2 linked regions of the Tribolium castaneum genome follow. The protein of the gene in region 2 purifies or fractionates together with the protein of the main gene of each other region. This does not show direct contact. Links are inferred from orthologs where the notes say so. Each region holds a gene or a part of one and is shown on either strand. Other genes may lie near its edges. The genes, in order: Pax and Csk.

The links.
Region 1: the proteins of Csk (region 2) and Pax purify together in Homo sapiens (affinity purification with mass spectrometry; 4 studies listed by BioGRID and IntAct, with this or other methods). This does not show direct contact. The link is inferred for Tribolium castaneum from reciprocal best matches to the Homo sapiens genes CSK and PXN.

The regions. Positions count from the first base shown.
Region 1 is NC_087395.1:17,987,365-18,002,335, reverse strand, and holds the end of Pax (paxillin), read right to left. Parts: intron 13,655-14,971; coding exon 13,492-13,654; intron 13,441-13,491; coding exon 13,302-13,440; intron 9,849-13,301; coding exon 9,668-9,848; intron 9,522-9,667; exon of another isoform or gene 9,365-9,521; intron 9,319-9,364; coding exon 8,944-9,318; intron 8,896-8,943; coding exon 8,665-8,895; intron 8,593-8,664; coding exon of another isoform or gene 8,494-8,592; exon of another isoform or gene 8,268-8,493; intron 6,008-8,267; coding exon 5,741-6,007; 3' UTR 5,372-5,740; downstream 1-5,371. UniProt on the Homo sapiens protein: Cytoskeletal protein involved in actin-membrane attachment at sites of cell adhesion to the extracellular matrix (focal adhesion). Recruits other proteins such as TRIM15 to focal adhesion.
Region 2 is NC_087403.1:6,763,364-6,779,013, forward strand, and holds Csk (tyrosine-protein kinase CSK), read right to left. Parts: upstream 7,730-15,650; 5' UTR 7,597-7,729; intron 7,302-7,596; 5' UTR 7,264-7,301; coding exon 7,234-7,263; intron 7,192-7,233; coding exon 7,030-7,191; intron 6,657-7,029; coding exon 6,478-6,656; intron 6,432-6,477; coding exon 6,098-6,431; intron 6,046-6,097; coding exon 5,566-6,045; intron 5,520-5,565; coding exon 5,433-5,519; intron 5,033-5,432; coding exon 4,940-5,032; intron 4,892-4,939; coding exon 4,808-4,891; 3' UTR 4,239-4,807; downstream 1-4,238. Other genes in the region: zinc finger protein 706, read left to right, coding at 3,695-3,838, 3,886-3,975; RpS6 (ribosomal protein S6), read right to left, coding at 9,260-9,445, 9,639-9,842, 10,029-10,174, 10,223-10,427, 10,628-10,633; tubulin beta chain, read right to left, coding at 10,834-10,905, 11,691-12,911, 12,969-13,025. UniProt on the Homo sapiens protein: Non-receptor tyrosine-protein kinase that plays an important role in the regulation of cell growth, differentiation, migration and immune response.

The sequences.
Region 1 (14,971 bases), on a different chromosome or scaffold from region 2:
TTTTAATGCTACAAACGGTAGCCAACGTGGAAGCGATATGAAGGTAGGTGTATTTTATTGCTATGTCGTATTTATTTATTTCACAAACCAATAATTTCATAAAACTTAATTGCAATTAAAATCTTTAAATGCGGTGTTGAAAAGTGATATTTTGAGTGACACATTTTAAATACAGTAACTATAAATAAAATAAACCACTCAAATAATTTATTGCCACGAAATTTTGCCTTTAATTTCAATGAATGAAAGTGGCTTGCTCAAAATTTAATGCAAATAAACATTTTTTTTGGTTTCATTTTTATTATTATTTTTTTTAATGCTACAAACGGTAGCCAACGTGGAAGCGATATGAAGGTAGGTGTATTTTATTGCTATGTCGTATTTATTTATTTCACAAACCAATAATTTCATAAAACTTAATTGCAATTAAAATCTTTAAATTCGGTGTTGAATAGTGATATTTTGAGTGACACATTTTAAATACAGTAACTATAAAAAAATAAACCACTCAAATAATTTATTGCCACGAAATTTTGCCTTCAATTTCAATGAATGAAAGTGGCTTGCTCAAAATTTAATGCAAATAAACATTTTTTTTTATTTCATTTTTATTATTATTATTTTTTTTAATGCTACAAACGGTAGCCAACGTGGAAGCGATATGAAGGTAGGTGTATTTTATTGCTATGTCGTATTTATTTATTTCACAAACCAATAATTTCATAAAACTTAATTGCAATTAAAATCTTTAAATTCGGTGTTGAATAGTGATATTTTGAGTGACACATTTTAAATACAGTAACTATAAATAAAATAAAACACTAAAATAATTTATTGCCACGTAATTTTGCCTTTAATTTCAATGAATGAAAGTGGCTTGCTCAAAATTTAATGCAAATAAACATTTTTTTTGGTTTCATTTTTATTATTATTTTTTTTTGGTTTCATTTTTATTATTATTTTTTTTAATGCTACAAACGGTAGCCAACGTGGAAGCGATATGAAGGTAGGTGTATTTTATTGCTATGTCGTATTTATTTATTTCACAAACCAATAATTTCATAAAACTTAATTGCAATTAAAATCTTTAAATTCGGTGTTGAATAGTGATATTTTGAGTGACACATTTTAAATACAGTAACTATAAATAAAATAAAACACTAAAATAATTTATTGCCACGTAATTTTGCCTTTAATTTCAATGAATGAAAGTGGCTTGCTCAAAATTTAATGCAAATAAACATTTTTTTTTATTTCATTTTTATTGTTATTATTTTTTTTAATGCTACAAACGGTAGCCAACGTGGAAGCGATATGAAGGTAGGTGTATTTTATTGCTGTGTCATATTTATTTATTTCACAAACCAATAATTTTATAAACCTTAAATGCAATTAAAATCTTTATAATTTCATAAAACTTAATTGCAATTAAAATCTTTAAATGCGGTATTGAAAAGTGATATTTTGAGTGACACATTTTAAATACAGTAACTATCAATAAAATAAACCACTCAAATAATTTATTGCCACGAAATTTTGCCTTTAATTTCAATGAATGAAAGTGGCTTGCTCAAAATTTAATGCAAATAAACATTTTTTTTGGTTCCATTTTTATTATTATTTTTTTTTGGTTTCATTTTTATTATTTTTTTTAATGCTACAAACGGTAGCCAACGTGGAAGCGATATGAAGGTAGGTGTATTTTATTGCTGTGTCGTATTTATTTATTTCACAAACCAATAATTTCATAATAATAATTTAAATGCGGTATTGTAAAGTGATATTTTGAGTGACACATTTTAAATACAGTAACTATAAATAAAATAAAACACTCAAATAATTTATTGCCACGTAATTTTGCCTTTAATTTCAATGAATGAAAGTGGCTTGCTCAAAATTTAATGCAAATAAACATTTTTTTTGGTTCCATTTTTATTATTATTTTTTTTTGGTTTCATTTTTATTATTTTTTTTAATGCTACAAACGGTAGCCAACGTGGAAGCGATATGAAGGTAGGTGTATTTTATTGCTGTGTCGTATTTATTTATTTCACAAACCAATAATTTCATAATAATAATTTAAATGCGGTATTGTAAAGTGATATTTTGAGTGACACATTTTAAATACAGTAACTATAAATAAAATAAAACACTAAAATAATTTATTGCCACGTAATTTTGCCTTTAATTTCAATGAATGAAAGTGGCTTGCTCAAAATTTAATGCAAATAAACATTTTTTTTTGGTTTCATTTTTATTATTATTATTTTTTTTTGGTTTCATTTTTATTAATATTTTTTTTAATGCTACAAACGGTAGCCAACGTGGAAGCGATATGAAGGTAGGTGTATTTTATTGCTGTGTCGTATTTATTTATTTCAAAAAACCAATAATTTCATAAAACTTAATTGCAATTAAAATCTTTAAATGCGGTATTGAAAAGTGATATTTTGAGTGACACATTTTAAATACAGTAACTATAAATAAAATAAAACACTCAAATAATTTATTGACACGCAATTTTACCTTTAATTTCAATGAATGAAAGTGGCTTGCTGAAAATTTAATGCAAATAAACATTTTTTTTGGTTTCATTTTTATTATTATTTTTTTTTGGTTTCATTTTTATTATTATTTTTTTTAATGCTACAAACGGTAGCCAACGTGGAAGCGATATGAAGGTAGGTGTATTTTATTGCTGTGTCGTATTTATTTATTTCAAAAAACCAATAATTTCATAAAACTTAATTGCAATTAAAATCTTTAAATGCGGTATTGAAAAGTGATATTTTGAGTGACACATTTTAAATACAGTAACTATAAATAAAATAAAACACTCAAATAATTTATTGACACGCAATTTTACCTTTAATTTCAATGAATGAAAGTGGCTTGCTGAAAATTTAATGCAAATAAACATTTTTTTTGGTTTCATTTTTATTATTATTTTTTTTTGGTTTCATTTTTATTATTATTTTTTTTAATGCTACAAACGGTAGCCAACGTGGAAGCGATATGAAGGTAGGTGTATTTTATTGCTGTGTCGTATTTATTTATTTCAAAAAACCAATAATTTCATAAAACTTAATTGCAATTAAAATCTTTAAATGCAGTATTGAAAAGTGATATTTTGAGTGACACATTTTAAATACAGTAACTATAAATAAAATAAAACACTCAAATAATTTATTGCCACGTAATTTTGCCTTTAATTTCAATGAATGAAAGTGGCTTGCTGAAAATTTAATGCAAATAAACATTTTTTTTGGTTTCATTTTTATTATTATTTTTTTTTGGTTTCATTTTTATTATTATTTTTTTTAATGCTACAAACGGTAGCCAACGTGGAAGCGATATGAAGGTAGGTGTATTTTATTGCTGTGTCGTATTTATTTATTTCAAAAAACCAATAATTTCATAAAACTTAATTGCAATTAAAATCTTTAAATGCAGTATTGAAAAGTGATATTTTGAGTGACACATTTTAAATACAGTAACTATAAATAAAATAAAACACTCAAATAATTTATTGCCACGTAATTTTGCCTTTAATTTCAATGAATGAAAGTGGCTTGCTGAAAATTTAATGCAAATAAACATTTTTTTTGGTTTCATTTTTATTATTATTTTTTTTAATGCCACAAACGGTAGCCAACGTGGAAGCGATATGAAGGTAGGTGTATTTTATTGCTGTGTCGTATTTATTTATTTCACAAACTAATAATTTCATAAAACTCAAATTTGTGAAATTTGTGACGTTTGTGAAATTTTTACTTGTCAGCCGCGCATCGGCACCACGTTTTTCTTCAATAATCTGAAATTTTAAATCCGCCAATAGGATTTCTTTTTCCTGTAAAACACTAAGGCCATCTATCCGCATCATCAGTAAAACCTAATTCAGTGAGGGCTCGATTTGGCTATATCAGTTCGGGATGCCTGGGTGAAAACAGCAACATAGGCGAATCTCTCTATCTCTCGTTTTTCGCGAAAGCGCTACCTAATCCTGAGAGAACGAACTAACTCGATAATAGCGGGAAATTCAAACAGGACATTTTATTTATTTTCCAAATTTAAAAGATTATAAATGTTAAATGTTTCTGTACTCATGCACTGTTACGAGACATTTTAATAAAAAAGCATTTGTAACAGTTGCAATAGCACAAAAACATTTCTTTCCAATAAAAATTTATTAAAAAATAATAACGTGCTGGAATGTATAGGCAAAATTAATTTAACTTGAATTGTTCTTCAAAAAGATACTTCAGATGTAGTAATCTATGTAAATACATTGTCCAAACATACACAATGATCCATAAAAACTGAGTATATTGGCATCAGATTAAATTATTAAATTGTTAACTGGAAGTGTACACTATTGGTATCCTTTAAAATTTAAATTCAGATTGCTGACAGACACAGTATTTCGGGATCAGTCTGTATAAATACATCAGATTTGTTGGTTCAATTACTTGTCTACACACTGTTCAGAAAAACAAAAAAATATCAAAATTTTGATAGTAACCTTTGACATTAGTCCAATTTTTAAGCCCCTAAGGCTAAATTTTACAATTCTCAGATGAACAGACTCCCGATAAGTTTTTAGTGTTTTTGTTCAACAACGTATTTTTCGAAATTTATTCGCGGGGATAAAGCTATCAGACGTTTGTAAAAGGGGCCCTAACACGTTTGATGTTAAAGTTCTTGATAAGTTTTGAAATTTGAGTAATTTTTGAGTAATCTCGATTGCACTCAAACTCAAGTGTGCTAAAATTATTTAAATAAAAAGCGAGAAATCTGATATACATAACTATAACCGAAAATTAGGGAATTACAACTACCATGTAATCATTTGAATTTTAAATTTTTAATAAAAGTATGGGCACGTAGGTTATTTTTAGTGAACCTCTTTTTCTTTTACTTTCAGCAAAATGTGCGACAGATTCCTTTAAATTTGTGTTTGACGCGACCTCTCAGCTTGAGTGCACGAACTATTTAGCCATTTCCCCTTTTGCCCCACCCCATAGTAAGTTTAATTATTTTTCTGTGCCTGTGCTGGTAGTTATCAAATAATAATATTTATCATTTACAATTTAAAATGTATTTGTTTTTGTTTACTATACGAAAGTTATAATCGGTTTTTAATAATAATGGTAATAATAATAATCACCAATCGCATTGCCAACCTTGGAATCTTTTCCCCCAACTAGTATGAATCCGGGGAAAAACATTTTTTTATCTTACTCACAATGATCCTTTGTATCAATCTTCTTTTAAACAGTTAATGAAGCAACGAATACCGCAGTTGTAGACTTTTTTAAATTTTTTACGAGTATTCTTTGTAAACTATGGGGGTAAGACAAAACCACATGGCTCACTAGATGATCCACTTTATTTCACACGTTAAATATATAATAATTATATTTAAAATTAGTTTTTGTTACAAAATAATTACAGTACGAATTAACAACCTTGATTAAAATTAATAAAAGTATAAAAAATAAAATGGCAACTTGTAATTAATTATTGAAATGCAAAATACAACGAGTGCATCATACGTGTTCTGAAAAGAAAAAAAAATAAGAAAAAACAGTATGGAATTAAAAGATTTCTGTTCGTAATAATAAGTCATTAATGGATTAAGCAAACCTACTTGACTCATAAGTCTAACTAACATTTAGATATAAATACAAGTTGGTTTTTGATGAAACTTAAGAGACAATTAAGAAGATGAAGAATTCAATTAGCCGAAAAGTTTATCGAAACACGTATGACAATATGGCTTATCATTCTGTTCCTTGAAAGTGCCCTTATTTAGCTGCTTGAGACAAAATGCACAAACGAAATGCTCCGGATGAAATTTCCTAAACATGGCTGTGATGCAACGGCCGGAAATCGGTTTATGGCAACCGGCACACAGCGAACCACGTTTCAAGTGGTAATGGGTCTCGCAGTACGGCTGACCTTCGTGGTCGAAGAAGGAGCCACCTATAAACGGCTGGCGACAGTCCTGGAAAAACAAAACATGATACAATTAGTATTCGTAAAAATATTTCTTGGTGTAAGACGAGGAAAAAATCCTTGAAAACGATACGAACTAGACCGTAAGAAATCATATTGTAAAGATACAGTGCGCTGGAAAACTATTTCGTTTTGAGAAAAATTCATTCACACTCGAATGCAAAAAAACGTAAATTGACTTTTTTCAGGTAATTTACCTATTAATAAATGCCACAATTTCAGAATTTTTTTGCACTCAATTGTACATCATTCGCAACTTAAAATAAATTTCTTATCTTTTGGTTATTGAAAATGATGTCATCGTCATTTTTTTAAAATAGAAACCCCCGATTTTTTAGCCATTTCAATAGGGATGTTAAAACTGAAAGGGTTAAAAAATGAAAGGTCATGTGCCTTAAAAAAATTTTTACGCTACGTGCTTTCAAAGTTTCATTTCTAAAAATTGCTTTAGGTTTGCAGTTATGTTAGCGAGAGTGTACTAAATTAGAATATTATTAAATATATATTTGTTAAACAAAAAAATAGCCAGTTCCAGTTAGAATTAACTTAAATTTGTACATCACTGTTTTATCTATAGATTTTGAGCAAGATCCATTTTTATTAAAAAAAATACAAAAGGTTAGTTTACTTTTATACTAAACAAATATGTTCGTAAGTCAACTAATAAGCAATGAATAGTAGGTACTTTTATAGTTATTAATAATACGAGTGCGAAAACACAAGCTTAAAGTTCGAGGGCTATGGTTATGCAACGAGCGTATGCGAGTTGCATACCCAGACAACTGAGAACTTTAAGCGTTTTCGCATGAGTGTTATTTTTTTTGTTGAAACATTTTAATTTTAAAAATAGTGTATTTAAAATAGTGATTATAATCAAGGATTCAGATATTAAAAAAAAAGCTAAATATATTACCAACAAAAAAAATAAGTTTTATATCATGTAATTCCAAATTAAATGGACATACTCCCTCAACCACAATTAAATTTTATAATACTTAGTACATAGCCCTTTAGCAACAACTAACTTGCAATTTTAGCGAAAAATACGAATGCGTTAAGCATATTTCAATTAAACATTATTAAAATAGTTCGAATTTGTAAAAAAAATAATAAAAAAATTTACATAGCCCCTTCACTCACTAAGCCCTTCAATTGCCGAAATGGTAAAACCATTTGTAGAATAAAATCTATGAAAAAGAAACCTAAATTTTAGTTATTAATAAAATTAATTATTTTAATTTTGCCCAAAACTCAGGCAAGTATGTTTTAAACAAAACCTTAATTCTTTTTGTTGATAGTATTTTTTGTGACAAATCAATTAAATATTTGTTCAGTCTCATGCTTTTCTTTTAATCAGACCACAAAATGTAGAAGATTTGCAGAATATTAGCCCATAGAGGCTTTCAAATAAAATTCAAAAATTGGAAATTTAAATCAAGTTAAGAATGGAGTATTTTTAAAAAGAAAATTTAAAGCTGTTCCGGCATTTCTGACATAGCAAACAAATTTTCAATTGCAACAGGTTTTAATAATAAATAATAATAATTAATTTAATAATAATTCCATAATTTTGCCATTCGCGACTGGATATTACATTTTTCATAACTCTTTAATACTTTAAAATAAATAAGGGCATGTCAATCAGTGGTAGAAAAAAGGTTAATTTAATTACTATTGGCCATAGTTGGTGAAAACCCTACTGAAGCACTTAGTGAAAGAAGAAGAAACGCAGAAACTTTTTCCAAACTCCGAAACTTTAAAAGTGTTTTATTTTTAATTATTGTCCTTTTTTTCCACCTAATTCACTCAAGACAAATGTAAACTTTTTTTTCTATTCTTTGTTTCACTTAGTAAATCATTTCACGTTAATGTGTGCAAAAATCCCTACTTCTAAACCATTGAGAGACATGTTCATCTAATTTCTTCCCACTTTCTCAAATTAATTTATCTTTCCGTCACCACAGAACAATAATAAAAATTGATTACGCCTGCCATTAATTGAGCTGTCTTGTTTCCCGTCGCCATTAAATCGAAACGAAATTAGCAAATCGAATGAAATAAATAACGCAGAGAAAAATTACAATGATTTTGGCTCGTCTAGTTGCTACAAATCAAGGCCAGAAACGTGGTGCAACAAAACCCATTAAATAGAACGAGACAGAGACAAGTTTCATAAATTTGTCCTATATTTTCGTGTAGGTACCCGACCTATAAATAATCCTGGCTTAAATATGATGTACAAAGACGTAGCAACTGACCCAATAAACACACAATTTATAAAACGGCCGCTAGGCCTCACCTGGGCGACAACGCAGCGCTCTGAGCGCGCAGAAAATCGCCCTGATTCTATTTGTGTGTGTATTTTTGTGTTTTCTTTTTTATTAAATCTTTATTATCTCAATATAATACAAATATACAAGACTTTGCTCTTATTTACGGGACAGGGTTAGACTTTATTAGGGGTGGCTAGCATATTTATTCGTCTTCTTCGTCCTCCCGCCCGATGCATGCTGGACACACCGGTTTGCCTTCAACCGCATAAAACGACTTCCCTTGCACCGGCAACTTGCAATCCTATGGTTTCAACTTTAATACCTACTCTCCTGGCTCATTTTTGCGCTTTGCGTCGGGGCCGTCGATACTTACCCTGCACACAAAGCAATCGGGGTGCCATTGCGCGTTCAGCGCCGAGATGTAGTTCTCCATGATGGCCCTATTGCACGCCCCGCACTTGGGGGCGAACATGTCGAAGTAATCGTCCCTACAGTAGGGCTTCCCTTCGCGCTCATGGAACCCTTCTTCCCCGAACTGCTTGCCGCATTGCGCGCAGAAGAAGTGTTCCATGTGCCACGTCTTTTCCAGCGCGGTCACGCATTTCTGTAAATAGAGCGGTCAGAAAGTGCTGCTTCAGCCGCGCCGACCTACATCCAAAATAGGCCCGTTGCAGTAGGCGCAGCGCGGACTGAAAAGGTTGTGGTAGTCCGGCTCGCAATAGGGCTTCCCGTCGCGCTCGAAGAAGTTCCGCGTGCCCAGCTCCTGGGTGCAGTGGGCGCAGGTGAAGTGCTCCGGGTGCCAGGTCTTGCCCAGCGCGGTGATGACCTGCCCGACGATGGGCTTGTCGCAGGCGCTGCAGCAGCCCTTCTGGCTGGTGTTGACCCCTTGTCGGCTCATGTCCGCCTGGAGGTTGCCGAGCATAGAGTCCAAGTTCTGCTTGGGGGCGCTGTGGGACTGCGTCGCTTTCGTGGGGCGCGCGTACTGCGAGTCGGTGACCGTCTGGTGCTGGGGCTGGCCCTGGTTCACCTGCGAACAGAACGGTCAGGAGCGCTTTGGAGGCGGTGGGACCAACCGTCGGAGATGGTGCTCGGGGGAAACTGAACAACCGCGCGCTTTTCACGACCAAGTAAATTTTCACGCCCCCCTCTCCCGCGACATTCCCGAAAACCGGGCTATTTTTGTGGAACTGTGGCGGGATTCTTATTATGTCACAGTGTTTCTTCGCTAGCATACGGACCGCTTTGTTATTATTATTCTACTTACATCACGGTTCGAAAAAGATGCGCCCACGCGACACGCACGATTTTATTCTTTTCGGTTATTTTTAATTGCTTTTGGCGTATTTTTAACAACCATTCATTTAATTAACACGTACCTTGATGCCGGACAGACTCGCCATCAAATCGTCGAGCTCTCGGGTGGCCGTTGAGGCTGCAGGGGCCGTAGACGTGCTGATGTGGGATGAAATCAGTTCGGTTTCACCGGGATAACCCGTCTCGGTTTTTGTTTCTTTCACAGTGATGGTCACTTTTTTCGGACCAGCATAAATCACTTCACTGGAAATTGTTTAGTTATCAACGTGACTGACATTTACATTAGGAAAAGATGATACTAACCGCATGACTTATGAACAGTGGCGCAATCATTGTCTCAAAGACAATGCGCAATTTAAAAGAAAATATGCAAAGTAAGCTAACAGGGAGCAAATCAAGCACAACGAGTCACTAGTTCTTGGATAAGTCTGTAAAAGTAAATTAATATTCCTTTTGTGACCGTTGACAATTTACAAATTTTGTTTGGGACATGATTACACTATCAGTAGAGCCATAAATGGGACTAGTACACTTTATAGAAATATAAAAAATTTAACGTTATATTCTAATTGAGAAAAAAAGATAAATTGTCAGCATTTTATTTCAATAAAACAGTCGACAAACATCTTTTGACAAATTTCAGAGCGACAGCTGTTTTGTTTGACCTCAAATCACGAAGCTATTCTCTAGTGTTTAGTTAATTTGTATTTAGCCATGGCTAATGCAAACGTGCTTTACGTTACCAAAACAAAAATAGTACAGTGCGGTTTAAAAAAATAAAATCAAGGATAATTTAGGTAATATTAGTTCAAATTAGGTAAAAATTTAGCACTGTTCCTTCTTTTAAAAGCGTGTCCCAACTACAGAAAATTAGACACACCAGCGAATTCCAAATTCTGAAATACTTTCTGTGCCTTAGAATGAGTCGATCAGTAAACGTAAATTTCAGTTCTTACTTTGCAAGATCTAAACATAATCATAGAGTGATGCTGTTTGTGGAAGAAAGTGATATCAAAATAAATAAATAAATAAATAACAATATAAAAAATATTGATAATTTTGCACAAAGGAGTTTATCTTTCTTTTTATTAATGGTAATAATAATTTCAGTCCCATGTTTCCAAAATATTTGGTCTTAACTAATTTTATTTATTCATCTAATTAGCCATATTATTATATAATTTTTTGTTAATAAATTTAAGTTAATAGTTAACAAATAATGTCACTAAAACTCCTGAAATTTTAGATTTAAGTAAAACCTTTGATAGGGCATTTTTAGGCCCTCTATTATATATCTACCAATTCTACCCACAAGTAAAGGATTTTTCTTACTAGGTCTTAGAACCGAATACACGAATACAAGGTGATTTAAAAGTGTCGGACCAACCTTTAAAATGCTGATAATAGAAGTTCGACTAAGCATAAAAATGATATCAGGTTTTTAAGCAACTTTTTAATTTTTAGAATGTTTTTCCTTAGCAAATTTAATTTGTTGCTATTTTCAGTTTGTTATACGAATAAAAATAAATACATGCTCGAAAAGCAAATTAAAAAAAAACATTTTCTGAAAAACTAATGTTAACTAGGAACCGGTTTATAAAAGCGTCATTAATTTAACCCCCAATTAAATGCGTGCTTAACTGAGCACGTGACGAAATTGAACAAATGTGATTGGTCGATTTGCTTTGTTAACTTTTAACAACGAATTAAAATTTAATGAAGCTTTCTAGACTATGATTTAAAATGATGTGGCATAATTTTAACCACAAATATCCCTCTACAAATGATAATAAATTGGAAGGTTTTTGTTGGCCTATCTCAATTAATAGAAAAATTACAACTTTTTGAATGATTTTTGGAAAATACTTTCGTTATTGATTGTCTGATTATTATAAAACTTGGCAATAATGTAAGGACCGGTTTATAAAAGCGTCATTAATTTAATCTGCAATTAAATGCGTGATTAACTGATCACGTGACCACATTGAACCAATTTGATTGGTCTATTCGCGTTGTTAACTTTTAACAACAAACTGAAATTTATTCAAGCTTTCTATCAACCGGCCCTAAGACTAATAAAAGACGCTCTTTAATGTGATGTAAACGGAAGTTATACAAAAGTTGTACATTTCTGGTTGTAATGGATTCCCCGCAGTTTTTTAACCATAACTTGTTTTTTCAGCCCATTAATACATATTTTTGATACCAAAGATTGAAAGCCTATTCATTTTTCTTAAAAAAAGATACTCTTGTTGTACTTCGCTAAAATATACCGTTTTCGAGTTATTTGGGTTTAAAATAAACTTTGCAAAATCGGAAATTATAAATTTTAAATGTCCGGTACTTTGGATTCAATTCACTTTGAATGATATTACTTGGACACCACTGTTACTACTGTCCAGTTACATTTAATTTAAAGTAATATTTGGTCATTTCTTGATAATTACAATGAAACTTTTGGTTATTCGTTGATAGAAACAATTCAGAAGCCGGCAGGACCCCATACAACACAAGACTGTATTTAATCTTAACATCACCTTAGAAATAAGAGGCAAATTTTTCTTCTACTCTATGGCTTTATCACTAATATTTAGATATTAATTGTGTTGACTCCAAAAACACAAATCAGTTTTTCTCTACCATCTAATGTAAGAACAGTTAAAGAAAATAACAGACAACAAAATAAAGCAGCAATAATTAAAAAATTCTTGAAACAAACCAACTGTATTTTGTACTACATTTTTTACAGATATTTATTACGAACTTTGATCAGCTTACAAAATAAGAAACTGGTAAAAAAACAAATATTCAAACCTGTGTAATGTCGATAATTTTGAAATATTTTTTAAATAAAAATCCATAAAAATTATATTTGTTTAAACAATGTTGGATAGAACAAACAAGAACGTCCTTCGTAAGTCATTTGTTTCTCAATTATGAAAGAAACGATTTGTTGGTCTTAAATATATTTTTATCTAAAAATATTTCTCTAATTGGATTTGGAAGTGCCAACACTAACTATTTATCTCATTATTTGTATAAATACTACAGGAAATGTAGTATTTTCAGCGCGTGATTCGCAGGTATTTAATCTCATTTATACTTTACACATATTTTTTCTACCACCACATCAAATAAAAAATATCTAGTTTTTACAATAATTACTATTTTTTGTAACGCCACTGGTTGACAAGCAATGTTACAAACGACAAACATCTTGAAACGCTTTAACAATTGTCCGCCAAGCCTCGCATGACATTTTTCACGTCGCGCAATTTATTTATCATTGTAGGTTTGAATTTACACTTAAAACCTAGTTGAAGTAATTACAGACGAACACTCCCACCTACGTGTACATAACAACGATCAAGTTGTGGATTTCTATTTCTGTAAGCGCACTAATAGTCAAAAACAAATCCTTCATTTGGCACAAAACTCTCAATAAAGTTGTTTGTTAAATTTAGATAAACACCTGGTTTAAAAAAACAGCAAAGCTATTCACAATCAGATAAAAAACACCTGAAGGCATTAATCAAATCTGTACTAAAATAGCAGTAGGTCAAACCCGGTGACTTGCGTTAACAAATCTACAAAACCATAAATTTTCCCAAATAAAAAATATAGGTCGCATTACAGCGTTAATGGTCCCGGTGATATAAACCTGATTTTAAGCCAAGAGAAACAATTCTTACTCACCCGGGATTTAATTCCTCCAAAAGACTATCGACTGTGCGTCTGTTCAAAGTACTTTGGGCGCTCGAGGGACGCGAATGGGGGCTCAAGCCGCCCGAGCCGTTGTAAGTACTTCCGTTCAAAGTTCCATTCATTCCATTTTCTGCAAAAACAGCCCAGTAAACCAAGAAGTTGAACCAAACTGGAATCTTACCGGAAATGTTGCCATAACGCGAATTGCTCAAGTCCTGCAAGAGCGTATCGAGCTCGGACAGATTGTTATTAAAAGTGCGTTTCTCGCCGGCTCCGGGCCCGGAACCGTACCCGTACCCCGGAGTGCGGGCTCCAGAAGTCGGTTGGGTCTTGCCATAAGTACCCTGAAATCACAATTAGAAATTTCTAAATTCAGGGTATGTTGTCCGGAATGTATTTTCGGCGAGTTATATTCGCTTCAGATTAACTTTAATTTTATATAAATATACAAGACGTGTGTATCTCGGCCACTTAACCAAACATACAACTGCTAATACATCTAAACAGGCCTGTCCTAAACAACCAGAAAAACCGCAGAGGAAAGCGGTGTACAAATTGAGGAAATCAGGAAAAACCAGAGGAAATCATTTTAAATAAGTCAATCAGGAAAACGATAAAAAGCACAATCAGGATAGAGTTTGTAGGATGCAAATACTAAAGAAAGTTATTTTTTCAAATACATAATAAAATCTGTATGGGTCGGTTTATAGAAGCGTCATTAAGTTAATCCGCAATTAATTGATCACGTGACCAAATTGAACAAATGTGATTGGTCCATCCGCTTGTTTAAAATTTAATTCGTTGTTAAAAGTTAACAACGCAAATAGACCAATCAAATTTGGTCATGTGATCAGTTATTCACGCATTTAATTGCGAATTAAATTAATGTCCTATGTGTATTAGACATTTGAAGACGGATTTCATAAACTGAGGCTGTTGGATATTATTTTCACGCGCTTTTTGACGAGAAGATGCTTAGAGAAATTAGTAATTTTACGCCATTTAACAATTTTACACTGTTTTATCCACAATGAATTTAGAAAATCTGGTAGATGCTCGAATAAATGTAATAAATACATTACTATGCTTCTAATTCGAAGCTAGCCTACAGGCTAGAAGTGAATAAATATTTATACAAAGTGATTTTTAAAAATTTTCTAAATGTCATAGTGTATTTTGGTTATATTCAAATTTCTTAATTCAAATTGGAACCCATATTTTTCTTTTTATAATTTGAAAAATACTAGATTTTTGGTACAAAAACATGTGTGTAAAAATTATTAAATAGAAAAAATATATGGATAGTATAATCACGACACACTTAAACACATTCTTTAAAATTAATGATTAATAATCAATTAACAGACATGTTGCAAGTGTATTTGAAAAAATATTGGCACAACTTATTTTCTTTCATTTACTGCTTTTTAACATAGCAATAATGGCAGTGTCCTCTTTACCATCTCATGGTAACAGACAGAAAATTTTTTAAATTTTATTTTCCATTTTTATGAACAGAATCAGTAGAAGTGAATTTCTCTTTATAGGAACTTAGTACCAGTCAAACTGTTTGCAATCTACAAGTGGAGCCACATTTGTAAAATCTGAAATACGAGCAGGAAAAAAATACGAATTAATGACAGACGGAACATAAAAAAAAA
Region 2 (15,650 bases):
AGATATGTTCTATTTTATTCATGTTGTTCACTTGCTTGGTTCGATGTAGAATGATCGGTACGGGAAAAGATTTTAACTCAAGTTTGCAAACTAATTAGTAATAATTATAGTTTTTATTTATTTATTTATTTATTTTTAATATTAATATTATTAAACTGCAAAAACTTTACCTATTCTATATTTATTTCATGCAGTATTTAGTAAATCTTGCAGTGAGACCAAAATTATGCTTTTTATTGCATTTTTAAAAACATAATACTTTTGTACAAGAGTTAGTATAACAAACAAAACAGAGAAAAAATAATGAGTTTGGAAGACTTGCTTAAGACATCTTATTATAACAGTTCGTAATAATAAATCTGTTCTCAACCCTTGGTAAGCCTCGTTTAATTTGGCTTTTTCTTGGTCGATCAACAATTCTAAAAACCGTGTTTTTTTAAATATATGTCCTTCTCGTAAATTAACTATTCAACCAACAATTTTGAAATTTGGTTCACTTAAAAAGCAAACCAGAACGCATCTAACAGCAGTAATAGATTAAAAAAAAAAGACAAAAAAAGCTACTTAAATTACAAGTTTACGAAATTGTGCGTTGAGATTTTCACCATCATGCGGTAAATTATATAAAATTTGACAATTTTAGGTACTTCTTTAAAATATAAGCACGTTTTTACAAAATGGACAATAGACCTTAAGGTTTTTGAGTTAATAACTTCTTAATAGAGCTTTTCAGACAAACAAACTAAGTTTACGGTTTGGAATCAAAATTTGGAAATAAATATATTTTTTAATATAATCCAAAAAACAACGTGTTAAAGGATTATCTAGTAACGGCTAGTGTAGGAGAAGCAAATTGATTTGCCAAAAACATTAATATTAGATTCAGTCTAAGCTGTAATTAAAAAAAGTTGCAGAGAAATAAAATTTTTGTAATCTGTAAATTTTTGAACCTTTTTGGGGATTTTATCAACTTTGTTTAATAAATAACGTATAAAGTAACGTGGTAGTACACATAATTGGACTAAAAATCATCTGATACCAATCTATTTATATTATTTAAAAAACTTATTACAGTAAACAAGGTTGATCTAAGGGTGCCTCCTCTGATAATAATCTAATGACTTTGGCATTAGCAATGCAGATATAAAACAAATTATCAGTGCATTCAGCGTGCAAAAATCTGCAAAATTTTTCAGCTTCGAATGATGATTATGGCAATTATAAATTATCGCAAGAATTCGCAGTTATCTACAGACATAGTGATTTTTTGGGTAAATAAGCGTCGCCTAAATAAGGGACGCCTAAATAAGCGTCGCCTAAATAGGCGTCGCCGAGATTATACTATCGGAACCGACGAGTGCCCAAATTAAAAAAAATAACAGAAAAAATGTAGAGCCCAAAATTCAAACATTCAAAAAATTTATATGGTTCTTACTCATTACCTATCTTCCTGGAATAATCATTGGCATTTGCTTCGATTAAATGCTTTTCATAACTTATCAATAAAAGCCTTCCACAAGGCGTGTGAGTTACAGTTTGCATAGAGTCGTTGTTCGAGCGTTGTTAATAATTTTGTGATGGGGTTGTTGTTTTCTAAATATTTTGTCAGCGAGTCCAGAATAATCCGTAATCGTCTGATGGTGCTTTTAAAGTAAGTAAGTCAAAAATGCAAAAGCTTTTATTACAATTTTCAATTTTTTTCCAGAGAGGAAGGCGCTTACAAGCTCCTCAGCCTCGCTGTTGCAAATTCGAAAATCTACCAGGTATGTAAAAAGGACCACGATCTGAGAGAAGCTTGTGCCGTTGCTGCTTTTCATCGATTCTACAATGAGAAGTTTATTCGCGAAGATGTGTACAACAGAACTGCGGACTTCATGGTCCTTTTGGATGATTTCGTCCAGTTTCAGCTTGCCATCGACGAGCAAAAACAACAGAGGAAGGCCCGCTGCAGCTTCCGCCGTTGCTACAAATTCAAGAAGGACTAAGATCCAGGCAAAATATTTAGAAACAACGTATCTATTTTTTTATTAATTCATTTGTAATGTTTATTATTATTATTAATATTATTATTGTTATATTAATTTTATCTATTTATTATTATCTAATCAAATATAGTATAAAGGAAGTTAAATTTTGCTTGCTGCTCTAGTTACCCCACTACCCGTGCTGTGCCCTTAGTTACATTAGCCGACATTTACAAAATAATCAAACAACAGTTTATTGCTCAGTTCTAATCGCCTTGTGATTGGTCTGTTTTACAGTTGGGAGTGCAATATCCCTCCCATATCCAATGACAAACGCTTCAATCGTCTAGCAGTTTTTTGTGCACCAGATAAACAAGTAGGAGGTGATCTTTAAATTTTTATTGGTCATTTACTCATTTCTGGGACAAATGAGACACCAGTGTAGTTAGAACTGGTTGTAGGGCTGGTTTTTCTCACAGAACGGGATTTCGCCTTAGGTGCGAATAAAATGGTCGATTTAATTTTTGGAAAAAATTTTTTGACACTTTTTTTTAATTTGTTACACAAAAACTAAGAGTCTTAAAAGTAAGATTTTTACACAACTAATTGAAATCAACGCTGTCGGTATAAAGAAATTAATAATTACATGTATAATAATTAAAATAAATAAATTTTTAAAATATTTTTTTTTGTTTTTGGATTTATAGACAAAAAAATTAAATTATTTCAGACAAAATTAATCAAAAAAAAAAAAAAAAAAGATTAGAGTACCTACTGGCATGCGCTCGCCCTTCTAAATTCTGCTCAAATAAACCTAAAAAGATAAATAAGCCGTATTCACAAAAATGTGTCAATTATTTGTATATACATCGATTAGGTTATTAGTTTTTTTTAATTTATTTTTGGACTAATCAAAAAACATGAAATGAAACATACTAAATTGGTTTCTTCGTTGATTTAGTTACAAATAGTAAATACTGCTAAATAAATTTGCAAAATGCTTTGCCTAAAATTTGTTTCTCAAAAAATTAAAGCGACTGGAACTTAAAAATCCACCCACTTGTAATTTTTTCAAGTACTTACCTCAAAAAACTTAAAAGCAAAGTTGTAATCAAAAAATTAGACAAGTTTTTTGTTTTTTTAACTTGCAGCAATTTATTATCTCATTAATAAATAAAACTAATTATTATTAATTTATTATCAATATTGATTCGTTTTGTGTATTGCTGGTTGCATTCCACATGCGTAAAATTATGTTTAAAAATCTTGTTTTAAATTTAAGATGTAACGTAATATTTCTAATTTTTGTTTATGTAATTTTTTTTACAAGGTTGAATGTAAAAACAGCTTTATTTCGTATAAACATTAAATTTCGATGTATTTTTCGATGTTGAAAAAAAACATCGATTTTCGCGAACTTCGATACTTACTTCCCTTTCGTCCCGAATCAAGTTGACGCTGCATTGCAGCTGTCAATTCGAAAATAAAAAAGTTCCGGAAGATATTCCCAGCAATTTGAAGAAAACTTGAAGTAATTCTCCATATATGTGAGCAATATTGCGAATAAAGTTAAGTTTCGTTGGCACTAGTCGGCAGTTTGATCACCACATTTCCACTTTTAGGTTAGTAGTCATATTTCCCTCATACAGAATAACTGTACTTAGAATCCTTTCACAGAGCATCAACTTTTATCTCAGAGGTGAATGTTCTATTACTTCTATTATTAAACAATGGCAAGAGGACAGCAGAAGTTGCAATCACAAGCCAAAGCACAGGAAAAGGCTGCTAAGGCCAAAAAGCAGCAAGGCCACAGTGCTACTGACCAGAAGAAGGCGGCCCAGAAGGCTTTAGTGTACGTTTGTACCGTTTGTAAGGTAAGGAAATAGCCCCGTTTTTTCCCTCGATTGCAGTGTGATTTCAGGCCCAAATGCCTGACCCCAAAACTTACAAACAACACTTTGAGAATAAGCATCCCAAGAGTGAAGTGCCTGCAGAATTGAAAGATGTATGAAAATTTCAATTCGCGTTTAACACCATCTGTGTTTCACTGTTAGAGGGACACTTTTTGTTGTTATGGTTCTTGAGTTACTCTTCCTTTCATTTCATTCATTTGGCTATCTTTGAAGTTGTTCATAGTTGAATCTTAATTTGTATTTATTGACTACGGCAATGTTGTGTTATTCAGATGGTTTGTGATTTTTTATTCCTACATTTGTACTAATAAACATGTTTGACCAACCCGCCTTCTTTACTGCCACCCCAATGAAAAAGTCGTTCAATTCTTAATCACTTTTTATTTAATGATTGTTGTCGTATGCATCTCATTGTAACTTACACATAAATCGTTCGGAAATTTACAAAAAAATCTGAGCCTTTTTAGCCAACGCTAAACTACAAAGATAGTCTCCAATTGTTAAAAACTAAACAATAACGTAAAAATAATATATTTTCAATTTAGAAAAGTTATAAAACAAAAACATTTACAAAATAATTACATTTGGACTTGACCGATCAGAGTACGCTTACACCTAAACAAAGCAAAACAAATCGACGTTACTTTTGATTCCGCTGACTTGAACACTATTCAATTTAAGTACGTCAAATTTACATGATTTGAGAAAATAAATATCAACTGTGTACAAAAAGAGTACGGAAATAAATCAACAATTTTCTAGTCAGACACACCACATTCAGAGAAATAATTGTACAGTTAAAATAAAAAATCTAAAGTAATGATTAGAATAATAATTGCAATAAAAGTGAAATTACATTATGGATCACACAAAGTGCATTCACATCCACTCACACGCATACATCTATCTATAATATACACTAGAGCTAAATCAGGAAGTCTGTTGCTTCAATTGTGCAAGTTTCGCCTTCACGTCTTGAAACGTCGGTCTTTTGTCCGGATTCAGATCCCACGCCTTGAACAATCAATTTTATTCATATAAACCATAAGACGGCAAAATTACCTGTCTCATAATTTCGTAAACTTCCGACGGACAGCCTTCCGGAGCCTCCATCTTGTATCCCTTCTCCACGTGCTTCACCACGTCCGCAAGAGGCTGAAATAGTAATTTACAATTATTTCGTTATTTAACTAAGCGGTCGCTAATCGCTAAATATTTTTAATATTAACGGTATCAATATACATAACTATAATTTTGTTGAAAATAAAAGAAACACAAAGGACAATTTTACGCTCAAAAAAAGGTCAATTTTATTCATTATAAACCAAAAATTACTTATTTACGAAGAGCACGGGCTCTGTTATATATTTATATTTATTATATATTTTGTTTATTGGGTGGGATTTTGTTCTTATCTTATTTCTTTGTTTTCATGTCTTTTCTTTCAACATGTATGTTTAATTTATGTAAAATAATTCATTTGAATCTTCTATATGTTTTTTAACTTAAGCATTGTTTTCCATCAAAAATAAATGAAAACAGAAGAGTGACTTACTATTCTCGGGTACGGAACTCTACCGAAGGAGTAAATCTCCCATAAGAGAATCCCGAAGCTCCACATGTCCGACTTGTTCGAAAATATCTGAAAGCAGAAAATGTACGGCGAAATGACCAGAATAGTGTTTTACATTTCGCTTCAAAGCCTCGGGAGCCGTCCATTTGATCGGCAACTTCGCCGACTCCGACATGGGATTCATCTCATTCCGCGCCAACCCAAAATCGGACACTTTCGCTACGCCGTTTTCGGCGATGAGAACATTCCTCGCAGCTAAATCCCTGTGCACCACATGCATTTTCTCCAAATACTCCATACCCGAGCTTGTGTCAAACGCAAAGTTGATCTGGTCCTTCTTCGTGACGTGCAAACGCCCCCTCGACCGCAAATAATCAACTAGACTGCCTTTACTCATATACTCCGTCACCAAATAAATCTGATCTTTCTTCCGCACAATGCCTAACAAATTAACCAAATTCTCGTGGTGGAGCGATTTCATTAAAATTGCCTCTGCCTCGCTCGAGTCCTTCAGCACCTTCACCGCCACCTTGTTCTTCTTCCACTTACCCAGCATCACCTCGCAAAACTCGCCCTTGCCGATTGGCTCGCAGATCTTCAAGAGAGACACGTGACCGAAACCGCGCCCAGTCATTGGACGGACTTACCTCGAGCTCCTGTTCAGAGATGACGCACAAGTCGTCGTTTTCCTTCGACTTTTCGTTGCACAACGCTTTCACTAACTTCGTACAGAGACCGTCGGCGTCGTTTTTGTAATGTTCGATCATGTCTTCGAGATTATCAAAAAACTCCTCGTCGTCGATTGTTAATTTACCTCCGTTCGACTTCACTCTGTAATGCTCGACTTTGTTGTCGTAGCAGACACACAGAGTGTAATCGCCCGGGAAATTCGTTGATTCCCGCACGAGAAACAGCCCATCGGTGCGCGCTGACAGCAAATTTTCGGCGTTCTCGCGCGAAATGTTGCCGTGAAACCAACTCCTGTGGCAAGTGTTATTGGGGGGAAAGCATGTACGGACGAACTTACGGTGTTGTACTGAATTTCGAATTCGGTCGCATTAAACTGGGGACATGGTTAACGTTGACGTCATGGCGCACATTTTTGAAATTGTTGCAATCTGAACTAATGTTCATGTTATTCGGGGATCTCAGACATTCGTGCTTGATACTGTTGTCCATTTGTGACGCCACTTCTTGGGACGCCATCTGAAAAAATACTTCGCTCTTCCATCACGAATAAATGACTCGTCGCGAATTCATTTGAATAAATTAGAATGAAGCGACTACTGCATCAAATTAAAACTGTAAAATCGGGCGCACTTTAGAATTTTATTCAAATTAGCGGAGTAATTAATAAGTTGAGCGTAATAATATGGAATTGTAATGACATAATGATTTCAAGGCTGCGTTATGTCATGTTAATTTCCCTGTGTTATTTACGATAGACACTGTCCTCAACAATGCGACGGTCTGTCGGATTTGCGCATCAGTTTGAAAATCGCCGCAAAACCGCGTCAACTTTCTCGGGCTGAATGATGGGAACCTGGCCTGAAAGTGTGGGAACTAGCGGTCCACTCACCCAGGAAGGGTCATCATGTGGACGGAACGCTTCGCTAGGGGTGCTCCTCTTGATGCCCCTGGCAGGAACTGTGGGTGGGTGTGAGGTGGTCATGGGGTCCCATTGACCGTCCGTTTGTTGACTGTAGTCGAAAATGTGCTGATACCTCTGCAACGACCCAACCTGATTTACGTATTCAATACGCGATGGGTTTAAATGACGCACCTGAGGAAATGGCGAGTTTTGGCTGGTCATCACTCAAGAATCAACCACTTCGACTCAACACATACTCACTGAAACGAAAGCATTAATAGCCACTTTCCTAGCCCCTTCACGCTCATTTTATTTCGGTGATAATAAATAACGGAAATGAATAATACATTTCTATCAAAATTTGCAATTTGGCCACGAAATTTTGGGTTTCACTGCGCAAAAGACGCAGCCGGTTCGCTAACGCCCTTCGCAATTCAACACAAACCAAAATTTTGCCAAAATATTGCCAAATGTATTAATATAAATCACTGACCCATTAAGTTGCATTTTTACCAAATTCACCGAACTAAACAACAAGCCACTCCAGAAACTCACCAAGTTTTTTAAAACACTTCGACTGGAGCGTTTGGAAGCATCGCTGATTTATTTTTTATGAGCAAACTGGGTTTAAATTTCAAAAACATACATTAAAATGTCAATCTCTAACCAACAACAGCCATTTTGGTTTGGAAAATGTCGATAAAGCAGGGCCCATCGAAGAGAAAGTGGCGCATAGGCAACAAACTATACACCGCTCAGAGAATTCGAATGGAAAGGTCTTTTCTAAGTAAAATAATCTAATTGCTAGGTATTTAAATAAGATTTTCTTAGAAAGACATACTGCTATAAAACGCCATAAGTATTATTACAGCTATTTGCTGAGCTAAATACAGTAGAACTCGGTTATAACGAACCCAAAAAACTTCAGAGTTTGTTCGTTATATTACAACCGATCGTCGCCTAATAGGATAATTTTAAGTTAAATAAGTTTTAATGTTTGAAATTGATAAAGAAAACAAAATATTTATGTATTTTTTTTAGAAAAATAGATAATTAATTATTTACATAAGTATACGTAAAATAATAGTGCAAATATTTTGTTTACTTACCTATTTTTGTTTGCCTTTAACAATTTAGCTGTTTTTAAAATATGTATCACTTTTGGGATCTTTCTACAATATCGGAAATGCTTAATGTTTCCTAGAATGAAACAAAAGTGCACGTGCGTACGCTATAAGTTACAACCGAGTCGTACAATCTTTTTTGTCTAAAAAATGTCAAAAGCGAGTGTTCGTTAAAACCGAACCAATTTGTTACTATAATATAGGACTTAAAATGGGTCTTTCAATTTTTTTAGTTATAACCAAGTTCCACTGTATTTTAAACAGTACACATACACTTTATGATCTTTTTTTACTGATAAAAAATAATGTTTGAGAAGAGAAAAAATATGTATAGTATTTGTTTTCACATGATGGCAATGCCAGGAAATACTGAACAGTATAAATATATTTTTTTTATTTTTTTAAGGGTGGTAAAATAAAAAACGAGCTTAATATTTGTTGTGACTTTATTATATTAAAATTACTACACCAGGAATACATTGTAATTTATGTATCACCGGGGAAGTACCTGAAACAAACAAAAACATTTCAGATACAAGCGGATTGATAAAGCATTAAATGTGAGTCAAAAACATTTTCAGTACATTTTGTAACATCAAGGTTCTCAGTCGGGAAAAGAAGACAAAAAATAAATCATCATTGAATGAAATTACAAAAAAATACATGAAAGTAAAATTACCTGAATAAATCCCAACTGCCACAACAGCCTGAAAAAGAAAACAAACTGTAATACCAATTAAATAACATTTGGTGTGATTTACGAAAACAACTACTCAGTAATTTTTTGACATCAAAATATTCAGTCGGGAAAAGAAGACAAAAACATGAATTCATCATTTCGTGACTTAAGATACTAATAAAATAAAACCAACTCACCATTAAACACTGGGACAAATGTTATAGTTCAGTAGAAAAGTAATTCACCTGTGAATTACCTTAGGGTAAGAAACTATGATTTTCTTGCAAGGTTATCACACTGATTAAACAAGAGTCGTTTAATCAGCTCTAGAACTTGCGTCAATCTGTCAAAAAATGAGAAAAAAACACAATTTAGCGTCAACCAATTTTATTCCTGAAAAGTCATTTATAAAACTTTATTTTTGCGCACTGTGACTGCTAGATTTGCTGTCGCGAAGACTGGCAGATCTGCGCCTCTTCATTTCTTCCTTCTTGGCCTTTGATTCCTTCTTACGCTGGGCTAATAATTTAGCGTAATTGTCTGACTGCTCCTTGCGCCTCAAGCAACGCTTCTTCTTCAGAGCCAGCCTATGACGCTTGCGCTGGAGAACAAAACAAATTACAACAAATTCACTTAAAAAAAACAAAAACTGTATTTGCAACATCATTGACAATAAAAACCTACTGTCGGAGTGATATCACAAAATTGGTGTACCACACACATGAACGCTTCTTTAGTTTGGCAAAACACTAAGAAACTGCCTGAGTGTGGATTTTGCGATGTCACTAAATTACCTGCAAGACAACTGGTGTGATCAAGCGCTGGATTTTGGGTGCCTTGAAGCGCTGCTTCTTGCCCTCTTTCTGGGGCAAGGGGCGCTTCACCACATACTGACGGACGTCGTCTTCTTTGCTCAAATTGAAAAGTTTTCTAATATTTGATGCTCTTTTGGGTCCCAAACGCCGCGGGACTGTGGTGTCAGTCAATCCAGGGATTTCCTGTAACATAGTCAATGACAATGTCCAACTAGCCGTAGAAAAAAAAATGTGCGAGTGACAATTCCACGCCAATTTGACGAAATTGGCGTGTGGTAAGTGACTACAATGCTCTAGCAGTTTCAAGTCACACACAACTTTGCACAATTGGGTGTTTGTAAACTGCAAGCTGCTCGAAAACCAACGCACCTGTTCGCCTTTACGCACGATAACGAGGGCAAGCACACTCAAGTTGCCGTCGACGATGCACCCTCTAACTGACTTGCGTTTCCTTTCACCGTCACGCCGGGGTCTGTAGCAGGAGTGGCCCTTTGAGAGGAGAAGGCGAACGCGGCCTTAAAACACAACTTTAAACAAAATCAACCACTTGCGGAGCCACTCACTGTTCGTGAGAACACCCTGCTTCATCGGGAACCCTTGCTTGTCGTTCCCGCCCGATATTCTAAGAACGTAGCCCTTCCATTCGTCTCCCAAGGGGTCAGCCTCGACTTCCTGTCCCATCCGCTTTTCATAGAAAATACGGATTTTGTGTTCGTCGACGACTTCGAACAGCTTCTGACATCCTGTCGCAGGATAGGACACGTTCAGCTGCAAAAACAAATTGCTACATGATAGAGGTTAGGTCAGGCTACGTGTAGCAACACGCAAATAGCGACGATTATCTCGACCATCGTCCAGTTGCCAAGAGACAATTTAACCGGAGATGGCCTCTTATTCATCCCGCAAGGGATCAGTGTTCATATTTTTGCAAAAAATTGAACAAATTTGAGCTTTTTCCGTAAACTCACCTTCATGATGCTTCCATATATCTGCACACCCGAAGCGAGAAAGAAATAAACAAAGATGAAGTGATTGGGAGAGGACAATGCGCAAACGCACTGAGACTCATTCTAGGCGTGCGCAACTTTAAACTAGAGAGGGGTACAAAATACAATAATTACAAACTCTATTTGTCTTTATTTCTTTTTTTTAACAAATTGACAATGTATTGAAATCATGTTTCTTCTTCAAATTTGTCCTCTTCTGTTTCGTCTTCATCCCCATACTCCTCATCAACTTCCGCATCCTGAGAACAAAAATCAATATCTACAGGTGTTCACATAATTTTATGTGCAAATTGGAATCCGGAATACAGACAGAACCAAAAATACTTAATCCACAAAATTCATGTCCTTGATGTAGGGCATTTTTCAAAAAATTTTTCTTGATTTTAATTAACAATTCTTGTAAAAACAGCCTCTGAAGAGACTTTAATAAAGCGAAACCAAAATCTTTATGCTTGGAAAAAATTACCTTTTTCTAGAAAGCAATATTTCTGGTGTAAAGTTCACAAGAACTTTTTTGTTTTATTTTATTTATTTTATTTCTTTTGAATTTTTGAAACTAACCAGAGAGGTAAACAAGTATACAATCAAAAACCGTAAAAAATATCAGTTGCCATCAGGTTAAATTGCAATAGCTTTGACTAAACTTTGCCTATAATAAAGACTATTTATTATTATTATTGTTATTACTATTATACTTAAATCATTTAAAAATAATGTGAATACTCAAAAACGTCATAAATATTGCTATTGTGTCATTTAGAATTGCAACATTTTAGGTGATTAGGATAGATTAGGATTATATTTACCCCACCTCTTGATCGATAATTTTTTTTTCTAAGCAAAAGTGATTTATAACATTAATAAGTTACTGATTAGTTTGTAACTTTTGAGTGCACACATGCACAGGCCTCTTACAATTATAGGAATCAGGCTGAATATTTATTTTACAAGTCCTTGAAACAACTTTTCGAAATCATGGCAAGCTGATATAAGTATAGATTAGATGGATTCCTGGAACACTAACCTGATACTGCTGATATTCGGAAATTAAGTCATTCAAATTGCTTTCAGCCTCTGTGAATTCTTGCAAATCCATGCCTTCAGCCTGATACCAATGCACATAGGCCTTGCGTCTGAACATAGCTGAGAACTGTTCCTGTATGCGTTTAAATAATTCTTGAATGGCTGTGGTGTTTGCAATGAAAGTTGACGAAATGGGGGCGTGTGGCGACGATATGTCACAAACCGCCGTTTGGATGTTATGTGGGATCCACTCGACGAAATAGGCCGAGTTTTTCTGTTGTGTTTCAAACATGACATGGTCTACCTCTTTCATTGAAACGGGTCCTCGGAAGATGGTAGCGACGGTCAAATATCGCCCGTTTGCCGGATTACAAGCTGCCATGATATTCCGGGGACTGAACATCTGTTCAGTCAAGTCTTTGACGCTTAATTTCCGGTAAGCGACACTTCCCGGAGCCGTCAGCGGCGCAAATCCGGGGACGAAGAAGTGTAGCCGAGGAAACGGTACCATATTTACCGACAGTTTCCTCAAGTCAGCGTTCAACTGACCCGGGAACCGGAAACAAGTGGTGACCCCCGCCATTGTCAAGGAAATCAAATGGTTCAAATCGTCGTACTTCGGTGACGATTTCTTCAAAGTGTTGAAGCAAATGTCGTAGAGGGCTTCATTGTCAATGCACTGCGTCTGATCGGTGTTTTCGATCAGTTGCTGAACGGACAAGGTCGCATTGTAGGGCTCCAGAACCACTTCCGAGACTTTCGGTGATGGCACCACGCTGAAACTTGTCACCATTCGGTCAGGGTACTCCTCACGCACCTTCGAAGTGAGCAAAGTGCCAAAACCGGAGCCGGTACCACCACCTAGAGAGTGCGTGAACTGGAACCCTTGGAAGCAATCGCATCTCTCAACCTCGTGTTGGATCACGTCCAAGACGTTGTCGCAAATTTCGGCGCCTTCGGTGTAGTGACCGGTGGCCCAGTTGTTCCCGGCACCCGACTGAGCGAAAACGAAGTTGTTTGGGTTGAAGAGGGTACCGAGAGGCCCGGCGCGCACCATGTCCATGGTACCGGGTTCTAGATCCACCAGCACCGCCCTAGGGACGTAATTCGCGTTTTCCGCTTCGTTAAAGTACACTTCAATTCGCTCCAATTGGAGATCATTGTCGCCCACGTATTTTCCAACAGGGTTAATGCCATGTTCTTTCGATATCGTATGCCAAAACTAGATAATTTATTATCGGATTATTACGTAATTCCTATATTTAGCCAGGGTACGTACCCGTGAACCAATTTGGTTCCCGCATTGACCCACTTGAAGATGCACAATTTCACGCATTTTTACGTGCCGGTTCAACCCTATTATTCTACACAAAACTTACGAGTGGACTGTTTACCACAAATATGGTAAATCGTTGATGATAAGATAACGAATAAATAGGCATCAGATATGACATAATTAAAAAAGTATATCTTTATTTAAAAATCAATATAAACCAAAGTTATATAATAATTAAACAAGAATAAGTAAACATCGCTTGTTATTCGGGCGAATTTGTTTGAAATTAATTCGTAATTTGCATTAAAATTGCTTCCTTATCACTTACCACTATCACAAAACAATTAAGATTGTGCGCAATGAGTCATAATGTAATACTCATAATTTTCGTAACATAAAGAGAGCAAATCATGCTTTTTAATCTTAAATTACACGTAAGAAACCCTGTAATCGGATATAATACAAAAGTGTGTGTCATTTTGAAAAAATAATTTACGTGAAATTTTAAACTTAGTAATTGGCCATATCAGGTCAAACTATGCAGAAGTTCTGCCTGATTTTTAAAGAAAGTCAACCACAATCAGTGTAGGATGATGTAATGCTTCAAGCGCACTTGTCTAAATAATTTCATAAGGTCTTATTACTCATAAAAATTAATAAACTTGAAAATTTCATACGCAGACATTATTAGATATTATCATATTACGCACAGACCGTGATTTTTGACGAGCGTTCTTACGATCAAAAAGTATCAATTTAATGAATGTTTTTTAATTAATTTAATAGTATTTTGGGTGTAACTGGTTTAATGTTATCAAATACAAATAAACTGTGGCCACCTTTTTCACTTTCTTGCGAATGGAATGTAACAAAAAATGTTTTTTTCGAATGCTTTGGAAGCTGTTTCCGGTGGTAGCTCCACTCAGTGCCCTAAAGTGAAGTAAAAAAAAAGTTGTAAGTGTATACATAACAATCAAATGTAAGGATACTCTTTGAAAAAAAGGTCGAAAGAGTATTCAGAATGGCCCCCGAAGGACGAATCAGTTATTACAGGAAAGGAGGAATATAGTAAAAATAATGAAAAAGAATTTTGCAAAATGCTTTTATAGAAAGTTGTTGTACTTTATGTTTTATTACGTAGTAAATTTAACATACTTTAACACGCCCTTTATAAACGATTAAACACACTTTTTTATGGAAATGTTTGACACGACAAGTTTATTTATGCCCTATATACATTTCATTAAATCGCACTGAAGTTTATGTTATTGACTTAAGGTAGATTTATCTGCCCTTAAACATATTCATTAAACATATGAAATTTGTGGCAATACCACTAATTTTTGCAACAACATTTCACGTTTGCACAAGGGAAAGGAGAAAAATAGTGAAAATAATGAATAAAAATTTTGCAAAATGCTTTTATAGAAAAGTTGGTGTACTATATGTTTTATTACCTGGTAAACTTAATACACGTTAACACGCCCTTTATGAACGATTAAACAACCTTTTTCATAAAAATGTCTGACACGAGAAATTCATTTGTCCCTATATACATTTCAATCTCACTGAAGTTTATGTCGTTGACTCAAGGTAGATTTGTCTGCCCTTAAACATATTCAATAATAATTAATAACGCTCTAAAAGTGCAAAAAAGCACACAAAATCCATTAAAGTTAAAATTCAACACTTCAGAAAAGAGCATAATAAACCTAATCCTATTTTCTGAACTTTTGTCTCTATCTGACATTAGCACATAATAAAGGTAGAGAGATTTGGGCCCTAAATATCCTATCATAACGCTCTGAAAGGGCAGAAATGAAGACAAAATATAATAGTGTAAATTTTGCCATTTCCAGGTAACAACATAACCCAACTTTTCGAGCCTACCGAATTTTCAACAAAACAAACCAAACAAACAATTTGTGGCTATACGCATTGCAATATCACTAATTTTTGCATCAAAATTTGACATTGGCAGTTTCTGTTTAAATGAAAACACGCATTTTTATTTTTCCATTAACTGCATGCGAAACTTTTATAATTTTAGACGTTTATAGACAAATACATTTGTCATAATTAAGTTTTCTAGATCAATACAGTACTATTTTGAATAATTCTGTGTATAAATGTTTCTAAATTTGACGGAATGTGCCAGTGAATATTTCTGGTGATCACCTGTTTTGTCAATTTCTGTCAATGACTTACTTAGATTTGTGTGTTCCGAGGTTACGTGTGCGGCGCAGGCGGCGAAGGCGGAGCAGTCGACAGCGAGCAGTGGCATGGGTCACATCGGGACCGGGAGCGGGAGCGAGAGCGAGGCGGTTTATTTAAATTGTAGTGTGAATTGTGCCGTTTCGTTTAATTTATTCAGTTTGTTACTTGCCGTTGTCGCGAACGGACGTGTGCTCAAGCAAATCTAAATTTTTTGGTTTAAATTTTAAATTCGGTGATCGCGGTTAGCGTAGTGTGTGTTAGTGCCAATGGAATGGACTTTAAGGAGGAAACAATCCGGATTAAAGGGTAAGTTTGCAGTGATTTATTTTTAGAAAATTAAAAAAAATCTGTGATATTTTCAACTAGTAATTTAAGGGCACATTGTTCTAATTTCATTGTTTCTTCTATTGAAGTAGGTCCGTTTAAGAAGAAGATGGCATCGGAACAGAAGACAAAGGTCAGTGCATT